Linked DNA regions of Ovis aries. Each later gene encodes a partner of the first gene's protein in a complex. Links are inferred from orthologs where the notes say so. Each region holds a gene or a part of one and is shown in the gene's direction. Other genes may lie near its edges. The genes, in order: ATF2, MAPK10 and MAPK8.

Region 1 (10,313 bases):
ACCTTTAGCATGTAGGACCTATCAAAGTTAAGTGTAGCTTTAGAAATAATTTTGCTTCATTTTTTTTATATGAGTATGATAAAAAATGTAAAACCACTTTATTCTAAGTTAAATTTTTTATTTTAAAATGAATTGCTTTATTGTATTCACTGCTATTTCTTTGCTGGATTATAATCAAGGCATTCTTTTTTTATGTGGTAACATAAAGCACCTGATTTACTTCTTAATTTGTCCAGGAGTAATATTTTTATAAGAAAGTTCTCATTTTAAAAGTGGTAAGTAACCTGAAATCTAAGTAAAATAACAATACTTTCTTCAAAAGTCATTATACCATGGAGTATATATTTCTACTATGATATGGCAAAAATTAACAGTGATCTATTTTTAGTGTCCAAATGAAATTTATGTAAAGTTTCTTTGCCTCAGGTTTTTTTTAAATGCTCTCAAATGAGTTACATGACCTAGTATCATCTTTATTGCTCATTCTTGGGTAATGAGTTTCTCTATGATTAAGACCTAATATGTTTATCTATACTAACAGTAGATTCTTTATTGTTAACAAACTGCTATGTCTTTGTTAATGGTGGTTTTACATGTTGTGGAAATGAAAATTTCCTTATCATTTAACTTATTTGATCAAATTGAAAATCTTAACTATATTTTAAAACTTTTTGCCACAGCGTTTTACCAACGAGGATCATTTGGCTGTCCATAAACATAAACATGAGATGACACTGAAATTTGGTCCAGCACGTAATGACAGTGTCATTGTGGCTGGTTAGTATATGCTTTTATTAATAGTTTATATACATATTTCACCTGGAATGTGCACAATTTTTGTGTATTCTCTGTAAATAATATAGTCTGGTGATATTCCAATAGCTTCATTTACAATAAATGTTGGCAACATGTATTTTACCCATTACATTTTCATGTTTCCTTCTGACCATTCATTTCACTTTTTTGTATAGTTTTCGAATGTAGACTTCAATATCATTTTTTGTGGAAGTTAATTAGGATCTGGGAGCATTCATACCATTTCCAGAATTTACATTTAACTGATAATTCAATTAACATGATGTTTAGTCATTGTTTCTTTTAGCTGTTTACATCTGCTTTACAGTGCTATGTAAAGCTAGAAAATGATCAGGCTCCTCCTGTTGGAGAAAGCAGTTAGCAGACTTGTTCATTAGGATTTTGTTTATGTTTCTGTTTGGACTAAACATCTGTGTTAATAAACCGGGCTTAAATTCAATCAATGCTTTTTATTTTTAGATGTTGCTCCTATGAACATACTGTATCACCTAAATGGATGATTATCTTTCAGTATGTGAAGAGAGAAGCCCAGTGCATGCACTGATTTATTGTCCTTCCATGCTGTCAGCTACTTCTTTTTTGGGTATTTATAGATGCATACCTCTCTGTATATGTATACACATAGAAGTATTGTGATAAAATGATTTTATATAAAATTTAATATATAAATTTCAGCGCTTTTGTCATAACCACAGTCATATATTACAAATATTCAAATTAATGTTTTAATTTTTTCTCTTGTAAAGCTTAGGTTATACTATTTGTAAGTCTAGAATTATACCTAAATACTGAATATTATTAATACTTCAAATTATTACCCAGCTTGAAATCAAATTATCTCTCTTAAGCATTGTATATGATAATGAGGAAAAAAGATAATTCTTATTATTCAGTATCAAGATTTTTGTCTTGAAAAAACTGGAGGTAACAGATAATTCACCAAAAAAACAATTTGTTTAGGAAAAATGTAGGGGAACACTCAGCACATCTTCATTTCTATAAGTAAAAGGAAGCAGGTAAGAGTGTGGTATGTATTTCTTTAAAATACCGTGTATCAGATATTGAGAGAGAAAACCAAAAATGCAAACAAAATAACTACAGCCTGGAAGTTTCACTCCCCTGGGCATGAAGGTCTTTCCTTCTCTGGAACTTCTTGCCTTAGAGCCATATCTCTCTCTGTAACCTTTAACTCAAAAATATTTTGAGATTGGTTTCTAGAACTTACTTTCCTTTCTGTTTACATTTAATGTGCTAGAAAAGTAGAACACATCTAAACATAGCACTTGACTTTTTTTCTTTAACTAAATATATTTGAGTAGTACAGCGTAACTGTGTAAATATAGTGCATGATGCGTGTGATATATATTTGATGATCAATAGCCAAAAACCATATGCATGTTTAAACAATTGTGCCTGTGTTGACGTTTTTCTTTCCAAGCCTGATCATTACAGTAATTGCTGATAAAACATGATTTTTGCATATGTATTTTATTTTTAAGACTCCTCTCCCTTTAATTGGAGAAGGCAATGGCACCCCACCCCAGTACTCTTGCCTGGAAAATCCCATGGACGGTGGAGCCTGGTGGGCTGCAGTCCATGGGGTTGCGAAGAGTCGGACATGACTGAGCGATTTCACTTTGACTTTTCACTTTCATGTATTGGAGAAGGAAATGGCAACCCGCTCCAGTATTCTTGCCTAGAGAATCCCAGGGATGGGGGAGCCTGGTGGGCTGCTGTCTATGGGGTCGCACAGAGTCGGACACGACTGAAGCGACTTAAGAGCAGCAGCAGCTCCCTTTAATACAAAATAGGAACCTTCTCTTAGGCATAGACAAATCTTTTGAGCATGAACAGAAGAGTCAAATTTAGGTTCAGTCTACTATTGCAATCATGATGGATGGACCTAGGTTGATACAATAATGGTATTATTATAATACCATTTTGTATGTCTTTCCGGGAGTATAGGTTATGTACATTGCAGACTATTAGGTAAAAAGATGACAAAAAGTCCTTCAGTAAGTTTGATACTACTACTACTGTCTGAGGTAGGCCTATATTATATCTAATGTGTATAACAAATAGATAATTTTAGTGTAAAATATTTATATGTAGTAAACACATTAATACTCTGTGTATACGTTGGGTTGAGGGTGATGATAAAACAGTAAGTGATGCCCACTCTAGGGATCCAGTAATTAACAAATACATATTTTAATTTCACAGAAGGTTTTATGAGTATTATATCTTAAACCAGGAGTCAGTCTTATACTTTTATTTAGTTTAAGCTAGATCCTTGATGTAACTTATAAAGTTGATGCCCTAAAGTATATAAAATGTGAATAGAATTGAATGTGCTATTAATCATAATCAGTGTGAGCAAACAGCCTTGAAAATAATAAAACTAAACAGGCAAAATTCATAACTTAGCTGTTTTTCATTCAGTGTAGACCTTAACTAGCTATTGTTTTGTAATTGATATGTGCTCACGTGTACACCCAGTTTGTGTTTTAGTGCAACACTGTTTTATCTTAAGCCTGCTTTCATAATAGATTATGAACACTAGTGGAAGGACCAAGTTAAAGCAAATATACATGTTCTTGTCTTAGTTCTCCCCAAATTGCATGTATTTTAAGTATTTGTAAGTTTTAATAGTGTAAATTTTAAAAAAAATTTGTGTTAGATAATGATAATAGTTTATCTCTGAATAGAGGATGCTTATGTCCCTCTACTCAGAACATGTGGAATAAGGAACAAGAAGGAATTCTTTTCATACTTTTATTGTTCATAAAGTTGGAGGAAATACCTTTAACTGCAACAAGAACTTAACCAAATTTTGTTTGCTTTAAAGGAAGAGGTCTTTCCAAAGAGAATTAACAGCTGACTGAACCAGTCCTGCTAATTCATTAATTTACTTGCTAAAATACTTTAGAGTCCGGTATGATACTTAAATCTGTGTAATTACTTATTGACATTTATTTCAGATCAGACCCCAACACCAACAAGATTCTTGAAGAACTGTGAAGAAGTGGGTTTGTTTAATGAGTTGGCAAGTCCATTTGAGAATGAGTTCAAGAAAGCCTCGGAAGATGACATTAAAAAAGTATGTTATCAGCCATGAAATTAAGAGTGCTTCTGACAGAACAGTTTTCACTTGTTGCTTTCTTATTTTAGATATACTGATTGGCTGTTTTTAAACTCCTAACACTTTGTTTAATTTGCATTTTTAGATGCCTCTAGATTTATCTCCTCTTGCAACACCCATCATAAGAAGCAAAATTGAGGAGCCGTCTGTTGTAGAAACAACTCACCAGGATAGTCCTTTACCTCACCCAGAGTCTACTACCAGTGATGAGAAGGTTAGAAGTTTGTATTTACAGAAGAAACTCAAACTAAGTGGGAAAAAAAATCAGCATTCTCAGTAAAGTCTAATATTTGATCTAGATAAAATTTTAATGTAATGCATTAATCAGCATCAGGTTGTACTTGCCTTACATGTGAAACCCTGTGAATCCTAAGAAATTTTAGGGAAAGAAGATAATTTGTTTATCTATAATTTTTTATGACAAATTATTGGAGAGAATAGCAGTCATTTAAGATAAACCTGTTATTTTTTTAGAGGATACATAAATTTATAAATTTAATTTCTCTGGGTTTTGCTTTTTTTTTTTTTTGCTACTTTTGTACAGTGACAGCTTAATTAAGAATCTTTGCAACTAAAAATTGTTTGAACAAAGGTTATATAGACTTTTAAAAGGTTAAAGGAATAGCTACTTACTTCAGCAGTGATCTTTGGTAATAGCAACTAATAGGATGACGATTACACTGTCTTACTTGTTATAGTCTTTTTGTAGTAATTTAGTGCCTCATTCCTAGATCTGACTACTTTGGTACCAGGGACCAACTGGGGTATATTATGTGCTGAGTTACCATTATTACAGATATTTCTCAATTAATGGTCATTCATTAGCACATCTACTAAACACATTTATTTGGAGGCATGGGGCACAATAAAAGGCAATGACAGTGTTCTTTTGTAGGTTATGTTACTCTAAAATCATAGCCTAACTAATGGACTTTTGCCATGGCAGAGGAGCTAGAAGTAAGGCAGGAAAGGTAACTATTCATTGATGCCTAGGAATAAATGCTTTGACCATTAGGTGTTTTGTATTTTTTTTATTTACTTATAATAGTACATTCTCATTATTAAAAAACTTTAAGAATCCAGAAAAATATAAGAAAGAAATTACCTTTTACCCCATAACTGAGTTGTAAGAATTACTAGTATTTTGAAACATTTTTCCTAGATATATGCATAACCTTTATACGTAGAAATATACATATATATATTGGGCTTCTGTAGTGGCTCAGATAGTAATGAATCTGCCTGCAGTGCAGGAAACCCGAATTCAATCCCTGGGTTGGGAAGATCACCTGGAGGAAGGAGTGACTACCCACTGGAGGATTCTTACCTGAAGAATTCCATGGACAGAGAGGAGTCTGGCAGGCTACAGTCCATGAGGTTGCAAAGAGCTGCCTAACACTTTCACACATATACAAGTGAATAGTTACATAGAAGTATAAAGGGATAAAAAGATAAATATCAAGAAGAATCATAGTTTACTTTTTTATATCATGTTTTAGACAGTCAGCATTAATGAAGATTTTCCCATGCCATTGGAAAATTTTCCAAAGTCATTATTTTTAATGGTTGCACTTTATTTTGTCATTATCATAATGTATTTACAGATCTTGAATGTAAATATTGTTTCCACATTATCACAGTTATAAGAAATGCTGTTAAATCTTTGATATAAATATCTTTTACCTAGAGAATATTCCAGTCCCTTCACAGTCAACAGTTTTTTCCTGCTGGTTGCTGCTTTAGCCCTCTTAGGGGTACTTCTTCTTCCTGCATTCTTCAGTCATTAGCTCACACTGGGCAGGGCATAGTTATTGGAATAGTTGTAAGAAGTAAATTCTGAGCCCCCTTCTTTCTCAATTTTTTCCTTCTTAAATGCACTCATCCAGACCTGTAACTTTAAAAACCATCTACCTGGTTTCCAAATTTGTATCAACCCAGATATTTCCCAGATTTCCATATTCATATGCAGCTCTGTCTTGACATTTCCCTTTATGTGTCATGTTAAACGTAGTATGTCTAAATTAGAGCCCTTCACCACCACCACCCCCCCCCCCCCCCCCCCCCCCCCCCCCCGCCAATCTTCTTCGTCTCAGTAAATTTCCTCTCCATCCACCTAGTTGCTCTGGCCAAAAATAAAGAATACTTAATTCCCTCTTTTTCTTCTCAATGAAACCAGTAGCATATCTTACCAAACCTACTTCCTGAATATATCCTTAATTTATCTCTTTCATCTTCACTGTCGCAACTGTAGTCCAAATCATCTTTTACTTGGATTATTGTTACCTTCTAATAATTGTTAATAATTATTTGTTAATATATTGTTCAGTTAATAAAACTTTTAACAATTACCAGGACTTTCTACTTCCATCTCCAACCTATTTTTCATTAGCTGTATATTTTTCTTAATTGGTGGCTTTGTTTTTCTTTTTTAAATTCTTTTTAATTGAAATGTAACAAACATGCAGAAAGTGTCCAAACACAAGCATATACAGAATACTTAGATTTATGTAGATGTATATCTGAATATATATGTATGTGAGTGAAAGTCACTCACCAGAATACTGGAGTGGGTAGCTGTTCCCCTCCAGGGAATCTTCCCAACCCAGGGATCAAACCCAGGTCTCTTGCATTGCGGGTGGATTCTTTACCAGCTGAGCCACCAGGGAAGCTAGACTGTATATTTTTAATATGTCACTTCCGTGCTTAAAATCCTTCAGTGGTTTGCCTTTGCATTTAAGGTAATTCACACTTCTCCGTAAGCCATCATTGATTTAGACTTGTATTCTTATCCAACCTCACCTCATTCCTTTCCTATGAAAGTGTTCATCAGATATTCTAAGCTTTTCCCTCCCTCAAAGACATTGCTCTTGGTATTGCTTCCTTCTCCCTAGAATGCGCTCCTCATCTTTTCAGTACCAGTTCAAATGCCATTTTTCAAAGAAGCTCACTTTACCTCACTATGCTATCTAAAGTAGCCAACTCCAACTTTCCCTCAGTTAATCTCTCATGATTTATTGATATTATGTTATACTGTTAGTCTGTAAGACATTACTGTCCAAAATTTTCTGGTTTGTTTTACTTGTTTACTGTCTCTTTTCCTCCTAGTCCTTCAGGGCATGTTGTAATTTCTCAAACTTGTCAAGTAAACGAAATTCCAATAGTACTAGTTTATTTTTCTTCCTGTGTAGCTTAATAAAATTGTGAGAATAAATGGCAGTATAAAGGCAAATTCAAGGAACATGGTGGACCAATTTTTATACTAGTTATGGAGTTCTGGATAATCTGTTTTCTAATCTGTAAATTGGGGAAAAGACCATCTATAAGGTTCCGTGTTTTTCTTTACTTTGGAAAGATCTTACTACAATAGTTTAGTTTTACATTCAAGGTATTAATATTACTTCACCTTTTGATACTGAGAAATTATTGGTAATGTAGAGATAGTTATCTGAAATTGGCAAACATTTGTATTACTTAAAAAAAAATTTTAACATTTTTATTATTGAATTGATATCAACTATAAAAGAGTCTCCTGGACCTACTTCTTCTTTATACAATATAATGATGGAGTAGGACAAGGAAGTCCCATCTGGATTTTAAGTTCTGTACTTCCATGAGAATGGAATTGTAGTTTTATTTTTTACTAGAATTCTCATGGAGTTATATAACCAAGTTGCCCAGCCTAAGTTATTTCTAGATTGATGGTAAAACAAGTTGTACTGAAAAAAACCACTCAGATGTTTTTTAAATTAAAATATTAACACTGCATTTGAAACAATTTTCTCATAATTAACTTTAAATAAATATTAATATATTTTGGGGTGATACTTAGTACTGAGTTTGTGGGGTTTTTTTAAGACATGTCATTCTATTCATTAAGGTACATGAATTGACTTGGATTTTTAAATTTCATTGTTTCTCCATCTCATTATTAAATAGGAAGTACCATTGGCACAAACTGCACAGCCTACATCAGCTATCGTTCGTCCAGCATCTTTACAAGTTCCCAATGTGCTGCTTACAAGTTCTGACTCAAGTGTCATTATTCAGCAGGCAGTACCTTCACCAACGTCAAGTACTGTAATCACCCAGGCACCGTCCTCCAACAGGCCAATTGTGTAAGTGATTTGGGCCAGTCATTGAATTTTCTGAATTGTTAAGTTTTTGTTTTCATGGTTTTCCTAAGACATTTAATTATTCTAATTGTGGCATTAGTTTTGTGTGTTAATCATTTTTGCATGCTTTTATTTTTGGAAAAAATGCTTGGGTAATTTTTTTTTTAATGTGAATGTTTTCTAACACATTAGAAAACATATACAGAGCTTAATTTTAAAGACAACGCAGATTGTGATTTTAAGATGGTCTCTTATTTTCATGCTATTTTACACAAAACACATAAGATTATCTTTATCACTAGATAACATTTCTTTCAGGGCTTCCCTGGTGGCTCAGATGGTAAAGAATGTGCCTGCAATGTGGGAGACCTGGGTCAGGAAGATCCCCTGGAGAAGGGAATGGCTACCCACTCCAGTATTCTTGCCTGGAGGAATCCCATGGACAGTGGAGCCTGGCAGGCTATTGTCCATGGTGTTGCAAAGAGTAAGACTCAACTGAGTGACTGACACAAAACATTTCTTTCAGTTTTTACAGGGAGCTCTCAAGAGCTTTCTGATAAGAATTTCTCTCAATTAATATATTGCAGTTTGTTCTCTAAGTAAATTCGTAGCTTTCCCCATTTTTTTTCCTTTTTTCCTATACTGCTTGCATACATTGTGCATTTAAGATGCAATTAAAACTAATTAAATTTTACAATGTGCTTTGCAGTGGTTCAGAAATGTTGGTTTAATTACTTGAGCAGCATATATACACCATGTATGATTTTTTGTGGGTATTTTGTTCATTTTATAAGAAATGGTATCAAGTTTGTATCTGTCACATGGGCATTTTCCTTGGGCTGGACCTCTTGTTCTTTTTTTTTTCTTCCAGTTTTATTGAGATATACAGTGAACGTTTAGGGCTTCCCAAGTGGCGCTAGTGGTAGAGAACCCACCTGCCAGTGCAGGAGACATAAGAGATGCTGGTTCGATCCTTGGGCCCGGAAGATCCTCTGGAGAAGGAAGTGGAAACCCACTCCAGGATTCTTGCCTGGAAAATTCCATGGACAGAGGAGCCTGGCAAGCAGCTGTAGTCCATGGGGTTGCAAAGAGTCAGACATGACTGAGCACACCACACACATACACATTACATCCCTAGTACTTATGTGTCTTCCAACTATAAGTTAGTATCTTCTGACCACCTTTGTTACCATACAGGGATGATATTACATTGTTAATGATTATATTCTTCACATTGCGAATTCATTCCTGTGACTCATTTACTTTGCAACTGGAAGTTTGTACCTCTTAATTTCTCTCATCCCTCCATTCCCTTCCCTCTGACAACCACCTGTCTGTTCTCTGTTTCTCTTCTGTTTTGTTTATTAATTTTTTAGATGTCTCCAGAAAATTTATTTTTAAATTATAATAGTAAAAATACTTTTATATTTTTTAGACATCATTGATACGGATTTCCTTTTTCTAATTGCCCTTCTTTTGTTTTCCTTAGTCCTGTACCAGGCCCATTTCCTCTTCTGTTACATCTTCCTAATGGACAAACCATGCCTGTTGCGATTCCTGCATCAATCACAAGTTCTAATGTGCATGTTCCAGCTGCAGTCCCAGTAAGTTTTTAGACTATTTAATATTTTCTTTATAGAAAACTGATCTTTATAATCAGAAAATACACTTGGGGCTGCTTGATTAGTTTATGAAACTGAATTCAACAAAATACTTAGTGTTAAGTAATATTTACTCATTGATATTTACTGTGATAGCATAAATCTTTCGAGGCAAACATAACTGGATAAATAACATTTTTCAATCCTCGAAATCTTAATTGTTTTCCTTTTATTTTTAATATTAAGAACTAATTCCTAAGGTTCAAGAGGGAGAGGACATATGTATACCTATGACTGATTTATGTTGCTGTTTGGCAGAAACCAGCAAAATTCTGTAAAGCAATTATCCTTCAATTAAAAAATAAATTAAAAAAATAAACATAAGGTTGAATTAAAAAAAAAAACTAATTCCTTATTCAACCCATTTCAATTTGCTAGATTTGTAGAATTCAAATATTAACATAGGGGACTTCCCTGGTGGTGCAGTGGCTAAGACTCTGCGCTCACATGCAGTGGGCCCGAGTTCAGTCCCTGGTTAGGGAACTAGATCCCACGTGCCTCAACAAAGATCAAAGATTCCATGTACCGCAACCAAGACCCAGCACAGCCAAACAAATAAAAATAAATGTATTAAAAAAAAAT
Region 2 (10,313 bases), on another chromosome or scaffold:
TATTCATCATAAGAAAAAGTAATCAATGGAAAAACAAAATGGAGATAAAATAATTCAAAGGGCATAGAAGAATGAAGCCACTAACAACTCTTTATGATCCCACTTGAAAGAAAAAGTGAAGTTGTTAAGTCACATCTGACTTTTTGCGACCCCATGGACTGTAGCCTACCAGCCTCCTCTGTCCATGGGATTTTCCAGCCAAGGGTGCTGGAGTGGGCTGCCGTTACCTTCTCTAGGGGATCTTCCCAGCCCAGGGATTGAACCCGGGTCTCCCGCATTGCAAGCAGATGCTTTACCATTTGAGTCACCAGGGAAGCCACTTGATCCCACTTGGTAGCCTCTGAAAGCTTAAATGTACATGGTATAAATTATGACCCCAAATTTTCAGAAAATATTAAGGCATTATTCATACATTAGGCTTAAGGCAGTTTGTTATATATTTCAGAAAGTTTCTCAACCAAGGAAGTTAATGTAAAAGAAGGACATTAAATGTAAATTCTTGGCTAACTGACAAAAATTAGCTGGAATGATTTCCAAACTTAGGATTTCAAATAATCACTTTTACAATCCATACTTTGTTTCTTTCATCTATTACAATACTACTTATTGAAGACAGTAGTAGTAGTCAATAGTTGTATATTATCTTATCATACTCTATTTAAAAAAACAAACTTTTTAGTGTAGTGAATTTAGAACTAGATGAGAATATTGTCAAATAATTCCTACTAGATGAAATTTTAAAATTTTTATTAAATACATTTGATAATTATGTTGTATGATGATTTCTGAACTAGTAGATCAAAAATATATATGTTTTGCTTTTTTGATGACTGCACATGCTGGAATCTATAGGTACTCACATAGTAGAAACATGATGACCTATTAGTGTCCTAAAGCAAAGAAATTGTTTTACAAAAGTAATTTTGGTCATTCTTTTAAAAAATATTTACTATTTTAAATTAATACATAATCATAAAAACCTGGTTAATATTTTCTGTATTTTTAAAAGTATAATCATTGTGGAAATCTGATGATTAAAAAGTTCTTTTAAAATATATCACCTTATTTTCTATTTAAATATTAATAAAATTAGTTGTTTTATGTGAATAAGTTGGCCTAATAGATTAAGAAAGCAGTTTCAGAGGCATTCTTTAAGAGGGATTGCCTGTGACAAACTTACGATCAATTTTATGGCAAAATTAAAGTAATATTTACTACATCAGTTCCAGACTTGGTCTTTTTTCTATTTGAATCCTTGGAACAAGACCTGGATTTAGAGCCAGGAGATATTTCTAGTATTGGATTGTATTTGTTTAATTATGATTATAGAGAAAACTCACATGGTTAACTAAGTATATAGTTGTTAATGACGTAACCCTGTGAATGCCTGTAAAACATGTACTTAGTGCTTAAATGTACTAGTCATGTTTTGGGGAAGAAAGAGCTTGAAATGGATTGGTTAAAATAAAGGGCACACACTTTTAAAGATGACTATACCACATATTTACAGTTAGAACAATCAAGTATTTCATTGCCAATAATAAAGATTAGTGTTTCTTTTTGGTAAACCATTACATCAAGGACCATAACAGTATTTCATCTAAAGAGCAATCTAAGGTAGGAAGATGTGCTGAATGCTTCTAGAGACTTTAATTATAACTTTTAATAAGAAACATTTTAATAGTTCTTGTTTCATTAATTCCAGGATGTTTGACTCTCCTTAAACTTCCCTGGTGGCTCGGCTGGTAAAGAATCTGCCTGCAATGTGGGAGACATGGGTTCAATCCCTGGGTTGGGAAGATCCCCTGGAGAAGGGAACGGCTATCCACTCCAGTATTCTGGCCTGGAGAATTTCATGGACTATATCGTCCATGGGGTTGCAAAATGTCAGACACGATTGAGTGACTTTCACTTTTTCTGAAAGTTTACTGTAAAAAAACCATGTAATTGTTTTGGAAATGTTACTTTAAAAGCAATTCACTTTTTAGTTAAATAACTGTATCAAGTGTTTGTTACTCAGTAGTGTCTGCCTCTTTGTGACCCCATGGACTGTAACCTGTCAGGCTCTTCTGTTTGTGTAATTCTCCAGGTAAGAATACCAGAGTGGGTAGCCATTCCCTTCTCCAGGGGATCTTCTTACCCACAGATCAAACCTGGGCCTCCTGCATTATAGGCAAATTATTTACCATCTGAGCCACCATACTGTAGCTAAATATAATTATACTAGTGTATTGGGAGTATTTTGCTAACTTTGTTAGAAGACTCCTTTACAGAAAATCTGATAACTTCTCTGCCCTGATCAAATCTTTAGAATTCTCTAGAAGTTTGATCACTGATTAAATTATGTCTTGTTAGGACATGATAACTGAACAGTATTAAAAAGTAGATCTCTTTTCATAATTTACAGTGTGAGCATTGAGGTTTATTTAACTGTATTAATGTTTTCTATTTAAAATATATCTAAGTAAATCTAGCTTACCTATTATCAATAGTACTAACATAAGTTTTTGTCTGAATAACTTTTAACTCTAATCTTTTGCATTTTTTTACTTTATTCCTAATGATTCTCATTTACTACTATATATTCTCATACACATGGTAACTGAGATGAATTTTTATTGAGAGACATTCTTGTTTAGTTATTTCTGTCATTTTGTAAAGGAATATTCTTTAGTTTTCCCCACTCTTACTTCATTTCTTGATATTACACAATCATACATTTTTTTCATCCTAGTAACTGAGAGGATATATAATTTAAATTTTATTCAGCTAGATTATAAGAGAAATAGAAGAACATTTGCAAATTAGCTTGGTTTTACCTTTGTTCAGTCACCTATCTACATTGTATTATATATTTATTTTTGTTAAATAGAGTTAATTTTGTCAGGACTGTCCATCATTTTTAGTCCAATGCTATAGAAAAACTAAGGGTAATGATTTTACAAATCTTAATTAAATAATATTATAGTAACATTCCCGGAACTGTCACAAATTGCATTAGCAGAAATGAATTAACTTTACACTAAAGATGGAGTTATAGAATTAGCAACATTGGAGACAACAGTGCCTATGGTATTGGATTTGAGAATTTCTAAGGCCTCTGTCTTTCATTGACACATGGCAAGGAAATCTATTTGAAATCAACTTCTTCCAGTTGGCTATTCAGAGTTTTCATGAGTGGTATTTATCGTTCCCAAGCTCTAACATATCAAATATCTATGAAAGATGAAAAAGAAAATCTCAATCAGTGGGTGTGCATGTCAAAGACCCCCAGTTTTGGAAGTATTAGTGTTCATAGAGAGGTAATGCTTTCCTTATAAAATTCCCCATGTTTAACATGCTTTTGAAACACAGGCATTTGGATGAAATCTGTCTTGAATTGAACATCCTATGTTTACCTTCATATTTCATTGAATATTACAATATTCAGGATATAAGGCACTATTATCAGAAGTAATAAAATGGGTATGAAACTGCAACTGCTTTGATAAACAGAATCTTTTAAGTCTTTGAAGAACAGTTAATAAGTTATTATCATACTGATTCTATTTGTAATGTGCATGAGTCGAAAAAATTAACAGACGAGGAAATTTCCCATTTTGTTGAGAACAAGAGGAAAAAAGAATCTTATAAAGAATTTAAGAAAAATACAGATGAATCTTATAAAACATTTATTCATCTGTCATTTTTAGAAAATAAATGGAATAATTTCATGATAATATAATTATATGTCATTATAATTTTTCTCTTCCACACTACATGGCTATATAGAAGTTTAACTCAATAAAAGAAATTCTTGCGTTATTTAAATACCTTTCCATTGACACAACCCAAAGACTCTTTCATGATATCATATTTTGTTAAGTAATGCTAATTCCTCAAAAGTGTATGTGTTCTCAAAGTGAATTTAAAATTCCAAGAGGATTCACTGCCTGACAATCTGATTTTATATGTTTGTCCGTTGTTGTTTTTTTAGAACTTCTTTTGTGTTATCGACTGTTCAGAGTTCTGAGAAGCAGTTAGTCTCCCAACTAGTGAAAGGCAAGAGCTGGTGTCCTGCACTTGTTTTTGCCCTTAACTATTCAATTCTCAGATATTGACCAGTGGAATAAGGTTATTGAGCAACTAGGAACACCATGTCCAGAGTTCATGAAGAAATTGCAACCCACCGTAAGAAACTATGTGGAGAATCGGCCCAAGTATGCAGGACTCACCTTCCCCAAGCTCTTTCCAGATTCCCTCTTCCCAGCGGACTCTGAGCACAATAAACTCAAAGGTAAGCCCTTCAGGGATAACTTCAGAACCACCGCGTGGGTGATGCAAACCATAGACACACTTCTCCCAATGCTGGGAAAATTGAGCGCAGGAAGAGAAGGAGGCGACAGGGGATGAGATGGTTGGATGGCATCACTGACTCAATAGACATGAGTTTGAGCAAACTTAGGGAGATAGTGAAGGATAGGAAAACCTGGCATGCTGCAATCCATGAGGTCGCAAAGAGTCGGACATAACTTAGCAACTGAACAACAACCTCAATTTAAGAAGAGGTATTTTTAAAAGATCCTCATTACAAAGGGAAAGTAATCAAGGATTTTAAAATTTTCTGGATATCTAGAGAGAAGACTAGTAATAAAGTGTGTGACAGTGGTATGGGTTAACTATTCACATATTTAGAATCTAAAATTACTTTGCAATGTTAATGCTAAAAGAACAACATTATATAGACATTGAAACAATTGTTCCAGTTATTTTTATATTCTGGAAAATATTTTCAACACAAGATTTTCATTGTAAAATCTTGAAACTATAGATGTTTGAGTTTTATTTGTATTTTACTAAATGCTTAGCCATCGTTTTTTATTTTAGAGTGACAAATGAGATTTTTACCTTCACATTTTGTTTTCAACATAAAGACTTTCATTAATAAGTAATTTTTTCTACTACTATGTCTGCCATTATGAACTTTAGTAATGAATCTTAATTTCTTACCCACAAAATGGAGATCATAATGGCTTCTTTATAGGATTCAAGACATAGAATAAATTTGGCAAGGTATAAAGTATAATGTAAGTAATATTTTAATTCTTATTCTAACTTATGACACTTCAGAAATTGGGGATATGAAGCAAATCTGATTTTTTTTCCTTTGCTGGGGGAAGGAATCCTATCCTTTAAAATCTGTGTGAACCTGGGCAAGTTATCTAATCTTTTTGTATCTTCTTTAACAAACTAAAGCAAGAAGTGTCTATCTTATAGGATCATTGGGAGGATTAATTGAATACTTGGCCAAGCACTTAAAACACTGCCTGTCTCACACTAAATGCTCAGTAACTGTTAGATATAAAAAATAATAAATCTTTATTAATAATAAAATGATTATTTCCAGGGGATCTATGTTGTTGTTTAGTTGTTATGTTGTCTGACTCTTTGTGACCCCATGGACTGTAGCACACCAGGCTCCTCTGTCCTCCTCTGTCTCCTGGAATTTGCTCAAATTCACATCCATTGAGTCAGTGATGCTATCTAACCATCTTATCCTCTGCTCATCTTATTCCTCATCTTATCTTTTCCTTTTGCCTTCAATCTTTCAGAGTATCAGGGTCTTTTCCAATGAGCTGGCTCTTCACATCAGGTGGTCAAAGTATTGGAACTTCAGCTTCCCCTGTGACCCCATGGACTTTACAGTCCATGGAATTTTCCAGGCCAGAATACTGGAGTGGGTAACCTTTCCCTTCTCCAGGGGATCTTCCCAACCTAGGTATCAAACCCAGGCCTCCTACATTGCAGGCGGATTCTTTACCATCTGAGCCACAGGGGAAGCCCAAGAATACTGGAGTGGGTAGCTTATCCCTTCTCCAGGGGATCTTCCTGACCCAGGAATCGAACCAGGATCTCCTGCATTGCAGGTGGATTCTTTACCAACTGAGCTATTAGGGAATCCCCCCACCCCGCCCCGCCCTGCAAAAGGACACACACTCGTGAAATTTTACTGCAAATTGTTCAGTGGACAATTAATTAGTTACAGATTAAATGTACAGACTTAATTTATAGTTAATATAGAATTAAATGAGGTGGAGAAACCAAAATATAGTGTTACAACTTCCCAGGGTCATATTATCTTCTCTAGACTTCCATCTTGTGGTTTTTAAATTAAGTACAGTGTTGTTTCTGTGTCTGTGACACTTTCGTTGCACAGTTGGGTTTCTCCCTTCAGCTACCTGTACCACTCTCTGAATTTTATAATTATTGAATTATAATTATAATGCAAAATCAGCAAATTATAAAGAATTACACAAATAATCAAAGGGAAGGATTTATTCTACTGTTGTTAAAGAGTGTAAGACATTTACTTGCAAACAAAAGAATGAAAGATGAAGAATTAAAATCTTTTCCTCTTCCTCATTTTGTTCCCTACAAGCAGTAGTGACCATTGTTTCTTAGTGAGATGATTTGGTGTTCCAGTGGTTCATTCTCCCATAGATGAGGAGACCACCGCAACCCCTACTCTTCCAAGAACAGAAATGTGGGTGACATGAGAACCCATGGAGTGTGTGAGTCTGGGTATAAAATCAGTTACAAATCAAAGAGGTCTTGAACTAATGAAATAGACACAGACCTGTTAGGTTAACAGTCAGAAAAACTAATACTTAAAATCATTGTATATTTCTGTACTTTTGTCACTCTGTCAACTTCAAAGTGTCAGTTTGGAAGTAGCAGAAATTAAGTGTTTGGAATTGAGATCCCCAGAAAAATGACTAATAGAAATAAAAAAATCTTCCAGTAATTTAACTAGTGATTTTTAAAAAATATATAATTAGTATAAATGTGAATATTTTAGTAAAATGTAATAACACAAGAAATACAAATGCTGTAGATGTGAAAATTAGACTGCCACATTTTAACTCTAGTATAATCAAAATTATGAAACAGTACATAAAACTAGAAGGGAATACATTAATAATAAGAATGATTGCTTCCAGATGGTGGGGAAGGTTGGCTTTTCTGGATTTTATGTTTAATGTAATTTCAAAATTTTATAATTAACCATATTTCATTAATAATAAAAATTGCTAATTAAAAATTGGTACATATTCATGAATTCAAACACACTGCCTTTTTCCTAAGTTAGCAAACCAGTTTTAGATTTTCCTTTCTTTAATTTGAAGTTTTACCATGTTTAGAATAAATTGAATATATTCACCATAAAAATTTCCAAATCAGTTTGGATCCTTATTTTCTGAAACATTTTTTGTATTTTCGGATATGTTTAGAGCATCCTTTAGAAAAGTTAGGGGCTTCCCTGGTGGCTTACATAGTAAAGAATCCACCTGCAATGCAGGAGAGCATGGTTCGATCCCTGGGTTGGGAAGATCCTCTGGAGAAGGGAGGGGCTACCTACTCCAGTGTTTTGCCTGGAAAATCCCATACTCAGAGAAACCTGATGGCTACAGTCCATGGGGTCACACACATACGATCAGACATGACTGAGCAACCAATACACTTCACTCAGCAATGTTATTAAATAAATACATTTACTGATTATCACTGTGCAAATTTTTTTGTATCCCTAGCATTTGAAACTGTACCTGGCACACAGTAGATGATGTATGTTGAATATTGAATAAATAAACAAGTTCCCTGCATCAATTTGTTTACTAAATCTTGTGGATTTTTTCTCTCAGAGTTGCCCCCTTCTCTCAATCTGTGAAGCTTCTGCTTCCGTTAAAGTCCTCATTCTCTCTCCCGTTCTCCAAAAGTCACCTCTGACTTCCTTGCCTCCCTCCAGATACTGCTTTGTCCTTTTTTGCAGCTCTGAAGTTTTAAAATGAGTGGTGTACACTCACTTTGTTTCCTTTTAAAAAACAATTCTTTAACCTTTATTTTTAATTATGCAAGCAATACATGTATGAATTTTCTTCCTCTCAGAGGTACCTATGATTTTCAATTTGTCTATGATCCTTGCAGAATTTTTCTATGCATTTATAACCATAAATAAAGAGAGAGAGAAATGTTTGTTGTTTTATTGGGAAGAGGCAGATTTATACAGTGGCATCAGGATCTATGGGTCATTCTGCAGTTGTTTTTTCAATTAATACTATGTCCATGTGAATACATCTGAAAGTGAAAGTTGCTCAGTCGTGTCTGACACTTTGCGACCCCATGGACTGTAGCCTGCCATGCTTAAAACTGCCAAACTTAATTGGTACAGGTGGATGACTCTTGAGAGTCCTTTGGACTACAAGGAGATCAAACCAGTCGATCCTAAAGGAAAGTGAAAGTGAAGTTGCACAGTCGGGCCTGACTCTTTGCAACCCCGTGGACTGTAGCCTACCAGGCTCCTCCCTACATGGGATTCTCCAGGCAAAAGTACTGGAATGGGTTGCCATTTCCTTCTCCAGGGGATCTTCCCGACCCAGGGATCGAACCCTGGTCTCCTGCATTCCAGGCAGACACTTTAACCTCTGGGCCACCAGGGCAGTCCAGCAATAGTACTGGAGTGGATTGCCATTTCCTTCTCCAGGGGATCTTCCCAACCCAGGGATTGAACCCGGGTCTCCTGAGTTGTAGACAGACACTTTACTGTCTGAGCCACCAGGGAAGTCCCTAAAGGAAAGCAGCCCCAAACATTCATTGGAAGGACTGATACTGAAGCTCCAACACTTTGACCACCTGGTGAGAAGAGCTAACTCATTGGAAAAGACCTTGATGCTGGGAAAGATAGAAGGCAAAAGGAGAAGGGGGTGGCAGAGGATGAGATGGTTAGATAGCATCACCAACTCAATGGACATGAATTTGAGCAAACTCCAGGAGATAGCGAAGGAGAGGGAAGCCTGGTGTGCTGCAGTCCATGGTGTTGCAAAGAGCTGAACATAGTGACTGAACAACAGCAACATTTAGATTGTTTAAAATGTTTTATCCTTGACCAATGCTGCAGTGAGCGTCCTTTCTGGATGCTTTTCCTGAACATGTGCAATTGTTTCTCTAGACTGTATACCTAAAAGTAGAACTGTTGGGTCATAAGATATTCACATTTAAAATTTTAAAAGATACTCCCAAATGTGCCCTCTAAAAAAGTCTTTATAAATTTACACTGCAACCAACATGAATGAGATTATTGAATATTATGCCATGTTTTGTGTGTATTTGATGGATAAAAAATATTTCATTGTTTCATTTTGCATTTCCCTAAACACTTGGTGAAGTTAGCTGATGTTTGGAAGGAAGGTGCTAACTGACTTTTTAAAAAGTATTTTTCCCTCTAAAAAATGTCCTTGCCACAATCAAAATTTAACAAATTTTTTTCTTCATTCATTTTTTTCAGCCAGCCAAGCCAGAGACTTGCTGTCAAAGATGCTAGTGATTGACCCAGCGAAAAGGATATCAGTGGATGACGCCTTACAACATCCATACATCAATGTCTGGTACGACCCTGCTGAAGTGGAAGCGGTAAGGTTTAGGTTTATTTTATTTTCTTTCCACAAACAAATCATAGCAACTGGGTGCTCCATGGTGTGCACTGAATGAGAGTTAGAATCCAAAAGAATTCTCAAAGGGCCTTCATAAAATTCCTAAGTCACAAAGCTACTACCTTCCCTTCTAAAAGTTATTTTCTTCAACCTATGTTTTGAGTTGCATTTCTTTTTCAGGATTTCCTATGTGAGATGGTGATTCAATCCAACACCTTGGCTATTCATGACATGCTTCCACTAGTTTTTGTTAAATTATTAATACCACCAGTATCTCCTTATGTTTAATGATCAGTCTCTCTTGATGCAAACTAAGTAACAAAAAATGTAATAGAGGATAAGTCTCTTTGCCTCTCTTCCAATCAGGTGCCTGGTTTTAATAAACTGTGGTACTAAGAACATTTATTCTTTTTAATTAACTTATTTATTTTAATTGAAGGATAATTACTTTACACTACCATGATGGTTTTTGCCATACATCCATGTGAATCAATCCCAGGTGTACATGTGTTCCCCTATCTTGACCCCCCCTCCCACATCACTCCCCACCCCATCCCTCTCGGTTATCCCAGAGCACTGGCTTTGGGTGCCCTGCTTCATGCATCGAACTTGTACTTGTCATCTGTATTACATATGGTAATGTACATGTTTCAATGCTGTTCTCTCAAATCATCCCACCCTTCCCTTCTCCTACTGAGTCAAAAAGTCTGTTCTTAACATCTGTGTCTCCTTTGCTGCCTTGTGTGTAGGATCATCATTACTGTCTTTCTAAATTCCATATATATGTGTTAATATACAGTATTTGTCTTTCTCTTTCTGACTTACTTCACTCTATATAATAGACTC
Region 3 (10,954 bases), on another chromosome or scaffold:
AGCTGTTGACATTCCTTTACCAGATGGTCTCTTCCCCTCTGCTTTCTAGAAACAAGAACATCATTTCAGGACCACTGGAGGACTCCAGATCACCCCTGGAGTCAGTGACTGGAGACAGATCCTGGCCAGAGGCCTCTGCCAAGGAGGTCACAGTAAACACCTCTCTTAGCAACATTTCTGCTTTGCAGGGGGCTCAAAATCCTGCCACCTGAAGACAATGACTCTTAACTCTACAGGGATGCCAGAATCTCCTTCTTGCTAGCCAACAACACTACAAAAAGCCTTTTAAAATTTAGCTGGAAATGTGTAGAACTTTTGGCAGAATTTGGGAATTCATAGGGGACTCCCTACTAAAAGGTCATTTTCTGAATGCAAGCCAATCTAACATGAATTCCAGGTTTACATCTGATGGGCAAGGGAGGGAGCCATGAAGGTGGTGATGGAGATGAAGGCAGGAATGGATGTAGAGACGGAGATGGAGACGGAGGTGGGGATGAAGACAGAAACAGAGATGGCGATGGAGATGCAAGGGCGATGTGTCCTCCCTAAAACTGTCGAGGGAGAGGGGCCAGTAGTGAATGGCTCTCTTCTCTCTACCACGGGACCCAGATGAATTTTCTGCAGTGCAAATGACAAATTTTACACAGAGGAGCCTGGTAGGCTGTAGTCCATGGGGTCTCGAAGAGTCGGACACGACTGAGAGACTTCACTTTCACGGGTTGGAGAAGGAAATGGCAACCCACTCCAGTGTTCTTGCCTGGAGAATCCCAGGGACGGGGGAGCCTGGTGGGCTGCCGTCTATGGGGTCGCACAGAGTCGGACACGACTGAAGCGACTCAGCAGCAGCAGCACAGGAAATGTGGGTGAAGAATTTGTAAATGAGGCACAGAATCCTTGTTGAGACACCTGATGAAAAGTCTTCTTCCTAAATATATATTTATTTAAAACAACAGCAAGGATTTTATTTATTGTTACAGGACTTCAATGACATATTCTTTCCCTTCCACTCAATTCCCTTTTTTTCTTCCCCAGGGGATAAATATTGAATACCTTCAAAGCTGGATGTGGATGGCAAGAAGGCAGTTTAGCACAGGTATACCTAAGCTGTGGCAGGCAAGGGTAGAACTTTATTAAAGAGCCAATAATGAAACAGTTCCTTAGCTCTCCTTTTACTGAGTGAGCCCTCAATAGGTTCAAAAGGAACTACAACCAGTTAACAAGGAAGAATGCCATGAGAAGGAAGAAGGAGGCCCAGAGCCATGTCTGGGTTACGGAAAGGATTTTGAATTTGCAGACTATCAAGATGATAACATTCGATCACAAATAGTGAAACGCCTTCCGAAATCACACACATGCACATATATGTATATAACCATGCAGGATGTCTTTTTCTAGATGTAGATAAGTGGAAGCTGGCAGTGGAAGGCTGAGGCTCAACCAGAAGCTCTTCCTGTGGAAAGAGAGGCTGTTACTAGCATTATAGAGCTAGGTATGAAGACTGGGAGCTCTGTTCTGCAGCACTCACTCCACAACCGCGCTGATTATTTTGTCTTTTGCTACTTCCACGTGTTCCGTATTATCTGCTGGGGAGCAGGAGGTACCTGTCAATACTTCCACCTGCCTGTCCAGTCTTATATCCTCCACCCTTTCCTTCACCTCGCTCTCCCAGGAAACTTACACTCATGCTTTTTCCCTCTGTTCCACCTTTCCCTCCTAACAGTCTCCCTACCAGATGTAAATATGTATGTGTCTTCCTTCACTTCCTGACTCATCATTACCCACCATCTCCATTTTCAATCTCCCATTCATTCCTTAGCCCACTTCAAACTACGTCTGGATCTAAGTACTCCAGGATTTTAAGCTTCCTCTTACACTTGATATTACTGATCACTCTTTCCTGAATCCTTCTCCCCTGGTTTTCCTTCTTCCTCTTGGGAGCTCTTTCTCAGGCTCCTCTTTTTTGTATTAATTCAGTGCTGAAGTTCCTTAAGCCTGGCTCCAAGCCATGTTTTCTTCTTGTTCAGTTCCTTTTCTCACTCAGGCCGAGGCTAACTGATCCACCCCCAAGGCTTTAAGTCATCACTATCTGCCAATGATTCTTCTCTTATCCACCTGATCCCAGCTCTGAATACCACCTTCCAACCTGGCATCTCTTTGGGGCAGATCAAAACCTTCAAACTATTTGTTCTCACAATCTTTCCATGCAACCGCTGTTCTCTTCCAAGATTCCCATCTCAGTGAACCAGCACACACATCCCATCTTTGGCCACATGCAAAAAACTTACAACTCTTCCATAATAACTCCGTTTCTTTCACTGTCCACCTAAATCCATCACCAAGTTCTCCCAGAGGGTCCTTTTACTGTTTCCATGACCGCCACACTAGAGCAAGCCTCTGCCACCTGCCATCTAGACTGCGCCTGTGTCTACCTGGCCTCTTTTCAACAAGTAATCTTCTCAAGATGCCATTCTGACCATGTCACACACTTTGCTACAGCATGCCAGGTACTTCCCATTGCACTTAGGATAAAGACAAGATTTTCAGCATGAGTAGTATGGCTGTACTAGGTTTGGTTCTTTTATAATCTTTCAAACATCATCTCATAGCTGCTTCTTCCTTGCTTTTCCAGCAGCACTGGTCTTTTCCTCAATTTATCAAACTCACCCTGCTCCCTGTCATCACATGACTCTTGCACACTAAATTACCTCTGTCTGAAACAAATGTTTTTTGCCTGGTTGAATCTGTTCTCAGTTCAAGAGGCAGTTCCTCAAGGAAGACGTTCCTGGCTTTATTAATTTCATCAACTGGTTCAATATCATTTTGTATTATAATGCAGCGATCATTTTGGATTTGTTTACTGTTATTATTTCTATATTATAATGATTAGGTCTGTAAGCCCCATCCTATTTCCAGTGTTAGCAAAGTGCTTGGCACAGAATGGGCATGTAATAAATATTTATTTGAGAAATAAAGAAAGGAAGGAAATAAAGAAGCCGAGAGAGAGGGAGGAATTAGGGAGAGACTGAACAAATGAATTTATGTTTCATTTCAGAATCACTGGAAACAGGTCAGTCCAACATGACATGGAAGACAGTCTACCTGAATTCACTCCTTTATTCAATAAATATGTATTATTCATTACTAAAGTAGTATACTTTTTTTCTGATTATGAACACAATGTGGAAACCACAGGGAAATATTAAAATATAAAAGAAAACCAATTCACAGTCCAATGATGAACTACTGTTAAAATCAGTTCAGTTCAGTCACTCAGTCACATCTGACTCTGCGATCCCATGGACTGCAGCATGCCAGGGTTCCCTGTCCATCACCAACTCCTGGAGCTTGCTCAACTCATGTCCATCGGGTCGGTGATACCATCCAACCATCTCATCCTCTGTCATCCTCTTCTCCTCCTGCCCTCAATCTTTCCCAGCATCAGGGTCTTTTCAAATGAGTCAGCTCTTCGCATCAGGTGGCCAAAGTATTGGAGTTTCAGCTTCAGCATCAGTCCTTCCAATGAATATTCAGGACTGATTTCTTTTAGGATTGACTGGTTGGATCTCCTTGCAGTCCAACGAACTCTCAAGAGTCTTCTCCAACACCACAGTTCAAAAGCATCAATGCTTTGGCGCTCTGCTTTCTTTATGGTCCAACTCTCACATCCATACATGACTACTGGAAAAACCATAGCTTTGACTAGACAGACTTTTGTCGGCAAAGTAATGTCTCTGCTTTTCAATATGCTGTCTAGGTTGTTAAAATGATTTGCCACGTTTTTTTTCAGTTTTTTTCTATGTATGTGTAGTATATAAGTAGGATCATTCTCTCCATGTATAATAGATTTGCTTCTTTCTCTTAATGAAGTATGATGAACATTTTCCTGTGTCGTTAAGAATCCCTCGAACACACGGTATTTAAACTTCTAAAATGTATTCTTTTGCAAACATGTATGTAATTTAGACATCTTTCCACTCGCCGGATATTTAAGGGCTTGCCAATTTGTCACTTCTCTAGCTAACATATATATACATGCCTTGTGGGGCCGAGACAAACAGGATAATGCAGTGACTTCTGTAGGAAGTGGACTTAGGGAAAACAGGAGGCAGGTTTTTCCAAGTGGCTTAAGAGAATATTTGCTTGAGGGTTGCTGAGCCCGAAGCAGGTGTCCTCCGAGTGGAACGTACTGTCAGTCATGGTAAAGAGCTTTCTGTCCCTCAGGTGTGAGCCCTAGCCATAGTGCCAGATTCCCGGGCGGGTCCGGCTTAAGCGCACCTGACCTTCAAACTCTGGGGCAAGGAGCCCCAGAGGCCTTGGCTGGGACTAGCGGACCGCCCCCATGCAGCTGCGGGGCACTCAGGCCACACGCCGCCACGCGCCGGGAGCAAGTCCCCGCCCCGTTCAGCACTCCGCCACACCCCGCACCGGAGACTCTCACGCGCTCTTCTCGTAGCTCCGCCTCCAGGCGACCTCCGCAAGCCCGCCCATCCCCCTGCAGTAGCCCCGCCCCCGGGTTGCGGGCTCCGCCCCCGCAATCCGGGCCCCCGGGCTGCCCCGCCCCATGGGCCGCTCGCGAAGCGCGGAGGCGGGGTCCTGCGCGATGACGTGAGCGGGCGTGCGCGGTGACGGCCCGCGTCCCTGTTACTCAGCGGAGCGGCGGAGGCCGGACGACGCGGCCCGGATCGCGGAGCCGCGAGCAGCGCTGGGTAACGGCTGCGGAGACCGCCGAGACGGCGCCGGTTCCCGCCGCCGGGCTTTCCTGTCGCCATTCGCTGCGCTGCCGGGTGAGTGCGGCCAGTGCCTCAGGGCCAGGGCGGCCGGCGGCCCCGCCGTGTTTATGTTATTGTGCCGCCGCCACCGCCTTTGCTCAGCCGTGACCCCCTCCCGGGAATGAGGACGGGAGCGCGCGGCGGGCGGGGGGCGCGCGGCCGGCGGGGGCGGCCGGGAACAATAGCGGCAGAGGCGGCGGGGGCCAGGGGGCGTGGGGCTGCGGGACCCGGGCGCGTCCCGGCCGCCCCCTCGGCCCCAGCTCCGCCCGTCGGTCCTCGCGCGCCCTCCTCGCGCGGGTCCAGCGCCCACGTCGGGAGAGGAAGATGGAGCGGGAGGCGGGTGGCAAGTTCTGAAACACTTGGGCGAAGGTCTGGACGAAGGCGCCTAGTCGGCCCGCTGCTCCCCGGCTGCGTCTCCCGGCGGCAGGGACCCGCAAAGAGCGCTCCGGTGGCCGGGTCGCGACGCGTGCCCGGCGCCCACGGGGACAGCGTTTTGTTTCTCGGTGGTTTCTTTGTGCTAATGTTCCGAGCGAACGCAGGCGGCGGTGCCGAAAGAGGCTGGAGTGGCCTTCAGCTCCCGCCTTGGAGGAAGAGCTGGGGCTCGAGGCTTGGGCAGGAGGTGGAGGTGTCCGTCAGGCTCAGCGCGAGCTTCAGTGGTCAGCGCGCATTGCTCTGGAGGCTCACTCGGCGGCGACCTTTTGACTTTTTCACCCCACCCTCCCTTCTCTTTGTCTTGCGCTTGTGTTCCCTGTCCTTCGATGGGAGCCAAGTCTCCTCTAAAGTCCTGTGGTGAGCACTTTTCATTTTAATTTCTGAAAGTTTCCCATCATATGTTTTCTGTGAACTAACTTAATAACATGTTGACTGCACGGTATCAGACAGTGTCCAATGGTTACTATTTTTGCCCCTAAACTCACTGATCTTTCTAGTAGAATTCTGGCCTGTCAGTCCATTGTGTTTTAAGAAAAGCACCTAGCAAGTACCTCCTTGGTAATTAGAACATCTGTTTATTTCATTCATTCATTCAGGAACTGTTCAGTATTGTACCCAGATGGAGTTTGAGGGCAAAGAGAAATACTCTGTAATGGAAGAAAATACTTTGAACTATAACAGATGTACCTTTAAATTAGATGGTTGTTTAAGTGATGTGAGTTAAAGAAGGTATAGTTATGCTTTGGGTCATTCTACTGTTTTTTAGTAGTGTATCTGGAATTTCTAGTGTAACATTATACTTATGAAGAAGTAGGCTTACATTTGGTCTAAACGTACAACAGCTTTTATGTATTTCGTTACAGTCATTTGTGATATTTGCTTCAGAATCCCTTGCTGTGGGTTAAGCCTAGGAGGTCAGATGCTGTGAGTGAGCCTGTGTAGTGTGTACCTGATGTAACAAGCAATCGCAATGTGACTTCCTTGAGGACAGGCCTGTCTTGCATTTGTGTTTCTAACACTTAGCCTGGAATATAGTAAGTGTTCCATGAAAATCAGATTGATGGAAAGCTCTTTAGAGCTGATAACATCGAAATTCAAGCCTTAACAAAAAACATTTTAATGTTCTCTGTATAGTTTTGGAAGCCTCAAGCAAACTCACTTCCAGATGACTAAATGATCAATTCATATATATTATCTGTCATGAAAATAGGGGCTTTTGAATCACTTCAGTATTAATTTTTTTCCTATCACTTCTAACCCATTGACTATCTTAAAATTAAACCTTGTCTAAAATACTTTTAAAAATATGTGTGTGTCTCTGTGTGTAAGTACACAGACACACAGTGATATTTCAACAGGGTCAATAATGATTGTGAATATTACCTTTTGTGAATATTACTTGAAAAGTTTCTGAATGCTCTTTTAAGCAGAAAAGTTAAAGGAAACAAATTGCATAAAAGTTTTTGTTAGAAATGTTTAATTCTAAATTCTTCATTGTACTAATACTATTGGTGAGGCATATGGGCCTAAAACTGAAAATAATATTAATTTATCCACATTACATCTCTTTTCCACTTAGTATATCTTAGCATTTGCTTTGGATATAAAAGAATTTGAGGTGAACTTATTCTCTGATTTAGAGAACAAATAAAGAAATAACATGATACTTTATTAACATAAAGGATGAAAATCTTGAGATGCTAAGCTTTATTGCTTTACCTAGTTAATATGTCAGATTTCAGTAAGGGTAACTGATACAGGTCCTCGCAGTCATGCTATACTTGTGCCAAGTCAGAGTTTTTTTAACTTGGTTTTCTAAATTCTGTTGGCTTTAAAAAACTTTTTCAAGACACCCCATACTCAATAGCAGTTCCTCCTTATTACGCTCTATGTTATCTTTAAAGGAAGAGAGAGCACTGATTCTGATAAGTAAATTCCATTAATGAATTTGAAAAGGGCTCCCTTTAATTCTCCTGGAAGAGCAAAAAACTATATCCTTTATATCCTAGGAGAAAGGTCACTTGGAGGGAAATTAGTTTAAGAGTAAATTCTACCAAAATTAATGAAATTAGAGTCTCAGCTGTTTGCCCAGTGCCTAATATTATGGAAATAACCTTGTGATGATACTCAATGCTTAGTGAAACAACTTGAAGTAATTTATTAAGTGACTAGTCACAAATTATCCTAGTTGCAATTAAAAGCTTGTTGAATAGAAGCCTGATTCTTAATGTCTTGGCTTTGTCAGTGAGTTGAGTTTTGACATATTTGAGTCATCCAGATAATTGAGATGCGTTGTTGCACGTGTATAAAGTAATGTCTGATATTAAGATGCCAGCTCTCTAGAGATCTCTGCTCGAGTCAGTAGTATGGATAGTAGTCGCACTGATTCATGCAGTTCAAGGAAGTCATTATAGGCACATAGCTTTAGATGGAAGTCATTTGCCTATTTCTGTGAGCTGTGATGCTTATTGTCTTAGTCATGGGTTCTTTACATCAATATTTAGTAGCTTTGTCTTCTTGCTCTAATGCAGATTAACTTGAACTTTGATTTCACAAATGAGTTCTGAGTCAACAAACTTTGCTGCTGAAAAGGTGACAGGAGCTTATTAAAGTAAGCTGCCCTTACTTCTGTCAATCAGGGCAACAGGTAGAAATAGACATTTCCAGGAATCAGATCTAGGTTCACTTCTCAGTTCTGTCATCTGAACTTTGTCGTCAACAAGCCCTAGAGCTGTAGACAAGTGGCTTATCTTTTTGGTTAGAACTATAAACTGAGGCTGTTGGAGCTTTTTTTTTTTTTTTTAAAATAGAAAGGTTATTTCCCCAGACAGTTGGTTCTTTAGAAAACCTACTGGGACAAAAGAGTCCTTCTTGGGTGATACCAAAATCCTGTGTCAAGAACAACAATGAAACTTAGACTTTGTAATGTACAGAAGCAGAGAAAATTACTGAAACAATATTTTCTATAATATCGATACTTATATATCAACTATAAAGCCTCACTGGAAGCCAGGAGTTCTTTCGTCCTTGTACTCAGTCATGTCCGACTCTTTTTGACCCCATGAAGTGTAGCCCACCAGGCTCCTCTCTCCATGGAATTTTCCAGGCAAGAATACTGGCGTGGGTTGCCATTTCCTACTCCAGGGGATCTTCCCTACGCCAGGGGATCTTCCCTACGCAGGGATCGAACCGATGTCTGCTTTGGCAGGCAGATTCTTTACCATTGCACACCTGGAAAGCCCCAGCAATTCTTTGGATGGTATATTTTATTCATTCCATAGCACCGAGCTTACTAATGAGACTAGTGCTTTCAGATACTTAGTGGAAAATGTGAAAAAGAAGAGTTTATTAGCCTCAAGAAGCTTATGATCATGAATAGAATTTAAGGCCTATCTAAACAGTGAATTTATGTCCTTTTAAAAGATTATGAGGCGTCTCCCAAATGAACAATCCTGGCAAGGCCAAGTTTTATTGAAATCTAGTTTTTAAAATTATATGTGAGTGTGTATATGTATGGAGAAGGCAATGGCACCCCACTCCAGTATTCTTGCCTGGAAAATTCCATGGACGGAGGAGCCTGGAAGGCTGCAGTTCACAGGGTCGCTGAGGGTGCGGGTTGGACACGACTTAGTGACTTCACTTTCACTTTTCACTTTGATGCATTGGAGAAGGAGATGGCAGCCTACTCCAGTGTTCTTGCCTGGAGAATCCCATGGATGGGGGAGCCTGGCGGGCTGCCGTCTATGGGGTTGCACAGAGTTGGACACGACAAGTGACTTAGCAGTAGCAGTATATATGTATAAGGCCTTTTAGAGTATTTATTAACTGCCGTTCTTTTTCAGGGTGGTGGGTTGTGTAACAAATATAGCACAAATATTGATATATGTCTCCATCCATATAGCTTTGTAGTGCATCAGATTTGGTTAAAATCTAATCAATATTTTAGAATGTTAAGATGTTCAAACTTAGTTGTGGTTGCTAGCATGAACTTTAGAGTCAGCCCTGAGTTCCAATCCATACTCCAGATCTAACTAGCTATATGGCATAGGCTAGTTCAGTTTATGGAACATTTCTGGATATGTAGCATTCAGTTCAGTTCAGTTCAGATGCTCAGTTGTGTCTGACTCTTTGCGACCCCATGAACCGCATCACACCAGGCCTCCCTGTCCATCACCAACTCCCAGAGTTCACCCAAACCCATGTCCATCGAGTTGGTGATGCCATCCAGCCATCTCATCCTCTGTTGTTCCCTTCTCCTCCTGCCCCCAGTCCCTCCCAACATCAGGGTCTTTTCCAATGAGTCAACTCTTCGCATGAGGTGGCCAAAGTGTTGGAGTTTCAGCTTTAGCATCAGTCCTTCCAAAAGAACACCCAGGGCTGATCTCCTTCAGAATGGACTGGTTGGATCTCTTTGAAGTCCAGGGGACTCTCGAGAGTCTTCTCCAACACCACAGTTCAAAAGCATCAATTCTTCGGCACTCAGCTTTCTTCACAGTCCCAACTCTCACATCCATACATGACCACTGGAAAAACCATAGCCTTGACTAGACAGACCTTTGTTGGCAAAGTAATGTCTCTGCTTTTGAATATACTAACTAGGTTGGTCATAACTTTCCTTCCAAGAAGTAAGCGTCTTTTAATTTCACGGCTGCAGTCACCATCTGCAGTGATTTTGGAGCCCAGAAAAATAAAGTCTGACACTGTTTCTACTGTTTCCCCATCTATTTCCCATGAAGTGATGGGACTGGATGCCATGATCTTCGTTTTCTGAATGTTGAGCTTTAAGCCAAGTTTTTCACTCTCCTCTTTCATATTCATCAAAAGGCTTTTTAGCTCCTCTTCACTTTCTGCCATAAGGGTGGTGTCATCTGCATATCTGAGGTTATTGATATTTCTCCCGGCAATCTTGATTCCAGCTTGTGTTTCTTCCAGTCCAGCATTTCTCATGATGTACTCTGCATATAAGTTAAATAAGCAGGGTGACAGTATACAGCCTTGACATACTCCTTTTCCTATTTGGAACCAGTCTGTTGTTCCATGTCCAGTTCTCACTGTTGCTTCCTGACCTGCATATATTATCTGTCAAATGAAAATAGCAATAGCACATAGTCTCATAGGTCTGTGAGATTTAAATAAGGTACTGCATGTACAGTATCTGGAAGACTAGATGTAAATATTAAGGACATTTTAGCTGTTGTTATCACTAATTACTAACTTGGAGCAAATTTAAAATGCCAAGTAAATTTAAAACCAATTTGATATACAGTATCCAGTCAGATTCTCCAGAATACACCAGTTTTTTCCCCCTCTGATGCGTCTCTAGGATTTTATTTAAAATTTTATCATGTCCTTTTTTTTTTTTAAGTTTTGCTTTTTTATTGGAGGTTAATTGCTTTACAGTATTGTGTTGCTTTCTGTCATGCGTCAGCATGAATCAGCCATAGGTGTACATACGTCCCCTTCCTCTTGAACCTCCGCCCCGCCCCTCTCGGTTGTCTGTAGGGGAGCAGAGTTTGGGCCCCCTGCCTCTCCCAGCAGGCCCGCGCTGGCGGCCTCTTCCCACATGGTAATGCGTGTGTTTGCAGGTTGCTCTCTGAATCCGCCCCTCCTCTCTTTCCCCTGCCGTGCCCACAGGTCTGTTCCGTGTGTCTCCATCGCTGCCCTGCCAGGAGGCTCATCAGTACCAAGTTTATCCTAATCTGAATTCTGAAATGATTTCACATTTGGATCAGTAATCCTCTCTGCCTTAAAAT

What was found.
Region 2: the proteins of ATF2 (region 1) and MAPK10 are in contact, whole or in part, in a crystal structure (PDB 4H36), measured with the Homo sapiens proteins. The link is inferred for Ovis aries from reciprocal best matches to the Homo sapiens genes ATF2 and MAPK10. Residues at the interface, in NP_001243019.1 of Homo sapiens: Lys48, His49, Met51, Thr52, Leu53, Lys54, Phe55; in NP_620448.1 of Homo sapiens: Asp150, Ala151, Gln155, Met159, Glu164, Arg165, Tyr168, Val197, Lys198, Ser199, Asp200, Cys201, Trp362, Glu367.
Region 3: the proteins of ATF2 (region 1) and MAPK8 are in contact, whole or in part, in a crystal structure (PDB 6ZR5), measured with the Homo sapiens proteins. The link is inferred for Ovis aries from reciprocal best matches to the Homo sapiens genes ATF2 and MAPK8. Residues at the interface, in NP_001243019.1 of Homo sapiens: Phe36, Val44, Lys48, Met51, Thr52, Leu53, Lys54, Phe55, Gly56, Pro57; in NP_001310257.1 of Homo sapiens: Asp112, Ala113, Gln117, Val118, Met121, Glu126, Arg127, Tyr130, Leu131, Tyr133, Val159, Lys160, Ser161, Asp162, Cys163, Val323, Trp324, Asp326, Ser328, Glu329.

The regions. Positions count from the first base shown.
Region 1 is NC_056055.1:134,973,724-134,984,036, forward strand, and holds part of ATF2 (cyclic AMP-dependent transcription factor ATF-2), read left to right. Parts: intron 1-680; coding exon 681-777; intron 778-1,275; exon of another isoform or gene 1,276-1,308; coding exon of another isoform or gene 1,309-1,399; intron 1,400-3,797; coding exon 3,798-3,916; intron 3,917-4,043; coding exon 4,044-4,172; intron 4,173-7,894; coding exon 7,895-8,073; intron 8,074-9,559; coding exon 9,560-9,674; intron 9,675-10,313. UniProt on the Homo sapiens protein: Transcriptional activator which regulates the transcription of various genes, including those involved in anti-apoptosis, cell growth, and DNA damage response.
Region 2 is NC_056059.1:101,630,519-101,640,831, reverse strand, and holds part of MAPK10 (mitogen-activated protein kinase 10), read left to right. Parts: intron 1-4,093; coding exon 4,094-4,276; intron 4,277-9,322; coding exon 9,323-9,447; intron 9,448-10,313. UniProt on the Homo sapiens protein: Serine/threonine-protein kinase involved in various processes such as neuronal proliferation, differentiation, migration and programmed cell death.
Region 3 is NC_056078.1:41,694,301-41,705,254, forward strand, and holds the start of MAPK8 (mitogen-activated protein kinase 8), read left to right. Parts: upstream 1-4,632; 5' UTR 4,633-4,784; intron 4,785-5,378; exon of another isoform or gene 5,379-5,558; intron 5,559-10,954. UniProt on the Homo sapiens protein: Serine/threonine-protein kinase involved in various processes such as cell proliferation, differentiation, migration, transformation and programmed cell death.